Caenorhabditis elegans: one gene and its partner. The protein of the gene in region 2 purifies or fractionates together with the protein of the main gene of each other region. This does not show direct contact. Each region holds a gene or a part of one and is shown on either strand. Other genes may lie near its edges. The genes, in order: R07E4.3 and ZC262.5.

Evidence for each region.
Region 1: the proteins of ZC262.5 (region 2) and R07E4.3 fractionate together in Caenorhabditis elegans (co-fractionation; one large-scale study listed by BioGRID). This does not show direct contact.

Annotation. Positions count from the first base shown.
Region 1 is NC_003284.9:5,951,222-5,954,270, forward strand, and holds R07E4.3 (Cytochrome b-c1 complex subunit 8), read left to right. Parts: upstream 1-2,236; coding exon 2,237-2,509; downstream 2,510-3,049. Other genes in the region: R07E4.5 (VWFA domain-containing protein), read right to left, coding at 1-738, 792-1,143, 1,557-1,742, 1,788-1,949.
Region 2 is NC_003281.10:8,341,413-8,344,528, forward strand, and holds ZC262.5 (Putative ATP synthase subunit epsilon, mitochondrial), read right to left. Parts: upstream 1,199-3,116; coding exon 1,118-1,198; intron 896-1,117; coding exon 812-895; downstream 1-811. Other genes in the region: ZC262.7 (Kinesin motor domain-containing protein), read right to left, coding at 2,359-2,739, 2,790-2,924. UniProt on the Caenorhabditis elegans protein: Mitochondrial membrane ATP synthase (F(1)F(0) ATP synthase or Complex V) produces ATP from ADP in the presence of a proton gradient across the membrane which is generated by electron transport complexes of the respiratory chain.

The DNA of each region.
Region 1 (3,049 bases), on a different chromosome or scaffold from region 2:
GGATAACGGGAACCATATCTGGAGACGCTGGACAATCCATCGGAGGACTTGCTGGAGAGTCATCTTCAGGTGCGGCAGCGGATTGAAGTTTGTCCTTCTCTTCTTCCAGTTTTTTAACAGCATGTTCTTCAAGTTTTGCTTTAAGCGTTTCTTCATCATAATAAGTCTTGTCATCTTTGTCAAATTCGCGGAGTCGAAGAATAACTGGTCTGCGTAACCCAGTGTAGCGCTCCGTTGCACATGCAACTAGGAACAATGGATCTGGTGTCCCATCTGCTGAGGCTTTTCCGTCTTCATTCTCTTTGGTTTCGGCTTCTTTGTCGTTTTTCACTTCAGAAAGTAGATCGCCATTTTTGGCGTCTTTTCCTTTCTTTGCATTTGAAGGTTCGAGGGTTTGCAATCTTCGCTTTCTCCCTCCTTTAGTCAAATTTGTTTTTTCATTTTTGACATTTTCGGCTGTAATTGGACCAGACTCTCCGTCTCCTTCGTAGCCGTTTTCATTGTTGGGAACAAGGTTTGGAAATTTTTTTTTCGGTGCTCGAGGTTTCACTGGAACAACTGGCGCAGTTGTTTCAGACTTCATGTCGTCAATTTCCTTTTTGATATCTTCATTGGATTTTTCAAGGCTTGTATCAGAACTCCGATCGTTTTCATCTTCTTTTTCCAGGAGTGCTACAGGCTTATCACCAATGATCTCTTTCAAAACACAATATGCGACTGCATTATTCACTTTCGAACCTGGAAATAGGACAGGTTAAATAATTAAAACATTTGCATATTACAGTAGTTACCTTTTTTGTCATAGCACTTGTCAATTGGAAGAAGGAAACTTCTCGTCAAAACTGAAATCGTTTCCAGTGGCTGATATGTTGATGTGCCAACAATGTCAATTTTGGTAAGTTCGTAGGGCACATTTTTTCTCACAGTACAAGGTGCAAGTTCTACTCCAAAAGAAGTCCCGAAATTGACCGTTGTGACGTAGTTCTCGGTAATCTTCTTGTGAATTGTCGCAGCTAGTTTTTTTGAAGTTCCGTGTTCAACCAGATGAACATCGCTTTTGAGTCGTTCAGAAATATTTAGTTTGATTCCAGAAAAATCGAGAAACGTCATCTTTTTGTGGTATTTGTGGAACATTTTGAGAATCTGAATTTATGATTGTTTTTTTTTTATTTCTTATTTAAAGGTAAAGTTTTATGGTGTTACAATGACTGAATATAATTTTGAAACTTTTCAAAACATTTTGGAAATTAATATTTTTGGCCAAAAAGCGGTGACAACCGAGCTTGTGCCACTCTTCGAGAAATGAAACACAAATCCCTACAATGTTGGAATATAAATATTTTCAACATGAATAACATAAAAAAGGAAATTATTATTTTTCATCGATAACTTCCAAAACAGACTGGTGAAAGCTTACTTTTCATCGCTTTTTTGAAGTTTTCCGAACACTGCCGAAATTTTTTTTAAATGATATTTAGTTATTTCAACACCAAAAGAGTGATTTTTCACAATTTCCTCTCTGGCGTTACTCCACCTTTAATGTGGTGACAACTTACTTTTTCATTAACAATAGTGGATACAATGAAAAATAACGCATTTTCATCCTCATCGGCGTCCAACGCAGTTTTCCAAAGCGAAAGAAAATCATTCTGATCTGATGGCTCAAAAATCATACTTTTCGAATCCTCAAACATCTTCAGTGCTTTTCCTTCTTCCAGTTCAATGTAATTATCACCAATGTGCTGAAAAAAGTGTAAACTTTATAAACTATTGCTTCAAAAACTCACAATATGAACTCTATCGATATAGGTCGGCTGATGATCTCCTTTTTTGCAAATTTCACGCAGAAAAATGTACGCATTCTCCATTGGTGTCGCATCACAATCGATAATTGCATGCATTTTTATACTCGCGTCGACTAAAAAGTGAATTTGGTTGGGAAACGGCATTCCTGAAAGAACAATATTCAATTTCTAAAATAGCATTTAAAAAGTAAAGAAATAAAAACCACACTTTGCAAAAAAATCTAAAAATTGGATAATAAATGAGGAAACTTAACGTATAACGACAGAGGCACCCTCCAAGGTGCACACATTTATACGGCCGGGTCTCGCAGCGTGTTCTCAATGGAGCGTCCTTGCACACCAACCAACTGAGGCGCTCGTCGCAACTGCTGTATACTTTTTCCATTGAAATTTACTTTAACTTCTTAATTTGTTTATTATTTCAGATAAAAATGAGGCCTTCAGCCGTTGCAATGGGAAAACATTTTGGAAATTTGGGAAAAATGTATGGAGAGCATAGATTTGCATTGGCTCCAAACGAACAAAAAGCTTATAAAGGATTCTTCGATCAGGCATTTGTGAGAACCTTCAAAACCTACGTTTGGGATCAATGGTACTACTACATTCCACAAACTATTGGTGCATATCTTCTCTACGATTGGGCCAAGAAGACAAATGTTGCTGCAAACCGCAAAAATCCAGCTGATTTTGCCAACGACGAATAACTTGTGGAAGAAGTTGGATTAGTTATTTCAATGTATTAATTGAAATCAACGTTGGAATTTTTTCTCAAATAAAATGTATTACTAGAATCACAATGTGTTTTTGTACACAAGCATATCAAAATATGATTTACTTTAAAACTGCAGTACAAGAAAAAAAGCTAATTATTTTGTCAGCTGATAATGTTTTCATACGTAAAAAATCAGGCGGGAGAACTGCCAAAGTTAAGCAAGGAAATACCAGACTAAAGGATCAAATGCGGTATTCTAATGTTTGATATAGTCAAATCAAACATTGCAAACATGCAAGATAGACTATTATTAGTATGTGTACGCATTAAAACAGTATAATCGGCAAGAACCTCTAATAATTCTTTCAAAAACGTTTGTAGTAGAATAATTAAACACTTGAATACATTTTAGATTTTTCAAAAACTTCAGTCAAAATTGTGGCAAGTTGCCAAATTTTCCGAAACAAAATTAGTAAACCGTAGGACGACTTCAAAAACAATTATATAAAAGAGCAAACTGAATTTTCACTAC
Region 2 (3,116 bases):
TTGAAGTTGCACAATCCAACGGCTGTAACTGTTTCGTACAAAGTTCGTTGCACGTCTGCAGATATTTTTCGTGTCCAACCTCCACTGGGATTTGTAAAGCCGAGTGAAACAGTTTCAATTGTGATTTGGTATCAGAATCAAGACAAGAAAGATGCAATCTCAAAGAATCACTATTTCGCTTTTTACCATACCAACAGCGATGGAAGAACTGCTCGTGAATTATGGGCAAATTCGAAAGTTGAAGGTTACACTTAAAATTGGAATATCTAGTTTTTAATGTATTATTTCAGGTGTCCGTCGTCTCCCTGCTTCGTTTTTATCGACTAAGTGAACTTTGATCGAATGAAAATATTGTCATTTGTCATTTGTATTATTCAACTACATTAAATTTAGAGTTTAATGGTGCATGAATCATTTTCCAGGACTCGGCGCGATTTTTTATGGAGGCTGAAGTTCTGTATTAATTTAACAACTGTACTTCTTCTTCATTTGAAATATTTTTAAACACTGCCATGCGTTCTAGCACGAGCGAAACTTGTAAGCCACCGTACCAGCACCTACACGAGGTACGGTAACTGAAAACTTTTTCACGTGCCAGGACCCCGTTCCGGGAGTTTGTTTTGTCGGATTTTTATTATTCTGGTCAATACTCATTTTTTCTCACTTTTTCAAACGCTTTCAAACAAAACTAAGAGTTTATTATTGCACACAAATCAATAAAAAATGCGGAAAATGGCATATTGCACCGAACTTGATGAAACCTATTTGTTTATTTTTTTCTCAAATGGAAATGATCAATTATCGAATGAATCTATTGAGACTTGGACACCATCTTTCCATTCTCCCAAGCAGTGGTCTTCAAGGTGGCTTGGGGCTTCTTCACGTTGGCGCCTCCCTGTAATTTTTGATAATTTTTGCGATTTTTCATACTTTGATGTGGGACAAAAATGTGTGAACCTTTAGGAGCCCAGTAATTAATTACCGGTAATTTTCAGAAACATATTACTTAATTGAAACCTATAGGTTATAACTTGAAAAATGATAAACAGAAAATTAACGGAACGGGTTACTGTACCACTTAAAGGGGCATATATTGTTATTTAAGGGTCCAACAAACCTTGGTGCACTGACGAACGACTTGTGCGGCGATTTGTGAATAACGGACGTAGTTGAGTCCAGCAGCTCTCCAGGCGACCATTTTTGATTTTGGGGGAAAGTTATTTAACCTTAATTTATACTATAAAATAATAAAATTTTCAGAAAAAGGAAGTAAATTGAAAGGTATGGAGAACAACCTTTAGACTAGAGAAATCTGTAAAATAAAAAATAAAAACTTTATACAGTCAAAGTTCAACAGGAAACTTGATAATATTCGAAAGTTACTGAATAATAATTAGTTGGTCCAAAATGGAAACAAAACTATCAATAAATATTTAATTACATTAAACTTATTTCTCATAGTTTTCAATGATATTCTCACTCCAGAACACTAATCAGTTAAGCTCATGCGTTTGTTGGTTATTCTTGCTCGTATGTTATTGTAAAATCTTGTTTAAAAAACAGCAAAACGTTTATTTAATAACAGAAAAAATAATAATTTTATTTACTGGAAGAGCAAAAGATACAAAAAAATGAATTACGCAATTGGGATGTGCGGGGATTTGGGGGCCGAATTGTGCAGAAACGAAACAAGTTGATTTCTTATGAAGAATGATAGGGGGATTTAGCAAGCAAGCTTTAAAGACACTCAAACGCATGCAAAAAACAATCATAGGAGTGTTGGTGGGTGACGGGGGGAAGAACCAGACAAAACCTCGTGTCAGATTAGTAAAACTGAAACAGGAAAATCGTATAGAAACAGACTATTAGAACAAAAAGGCGGAAAAAGGCAATTTGGGTGGGGGTGGAGGGAAGCTTTAAATACTTTTAGCTTTTGAAGTTTTGTATTCTACATGGAAGACGAGAAGCCAAGGAACGAAATGGGGAGACACAACCAACCAAATGAAGATATTTTTGTTGAAACTTCCAGAAGCCGCGTAATTGTATAAGTTACTAGATTTTAAAATAAACAGAAAAGCCCATCGAAAGTATATCACAAAGCCGGGAAAAGAAGAGAGATAGAGAAGCATTTGAATGTCAGTCTTCAGTGTATTGATTGGATCAAAGAAGACGATGAGTTGATGTTGTTGTTGGGAGACATTATGCTGAAAAACTTTGATTAGTGAAAAATGGACGGACAAAAGACTGTTAAATTTGATAATACGGTAGGAAGAAAAAGAAACACTCACTCTAATTCTAATTCATAGTATAATTACTTGTGAAAAATTACATGAGCACTAAAGAATTTTTTAAAAAATCTTAAATTTCTGCAATCAACTGTGAAATAGTCATTTTTGATGGTATCTGATTGCGAGATGTTGAAGGTGTAGATGTCTGACTAAACACACCGTTTGAGCCATTTGGAGCTCCTTGTGACATTCCTGCTGACGGAGACGTATACACTTGTCCTGGACGGATTGGCTTCACAATTTGTGGAGCATTCATTCGTCGCATGTTACGTTGTCGAACAGCTTCCTTGATTCGTTCAACTTCTTGTTGATACTTCTTTCGTTCTGCTTGACTACGTTGCTTCGAATCACGAAGAGCAGTTTCTAATATTTTGATGCGATCTTCACGACCACGAAGACGAGCTTCCATCTTTGGCAGTTCAACGCGCAAATCGGCATTGTCGCGAACAAGCTGAAAATTCAAGTTTTAAGATAATCAAAATGAGAATAAAAACGACAAACCTGCTTGTGAACCTTCGTCAACTTGTCCAAATTGTTCTCCAAGAACTGAATTCGTTGCTTTTGAGCTGGTCCACTGAGAGAATCTTCTCCCTCGGTGTCTTGATTGGCTTGGCATCGAGCAACAAGTACTCTCATGAACTCCTTTTTCAAATTTAGGGAAAATTCTGGAATGTTCCAGAACTTTCTAGAAAAATTGGGAAAAGTCTGGAATGTTCCAGAACTTTCTAGAAAAATTGGGAAAAGTCTGGAATGTTCCAGAACTTTCTAGAAAAATTGAGAAAAGTCTGGAATGTTCCAGAACTTTCTAGAAAAATTGGGAAAATTCTG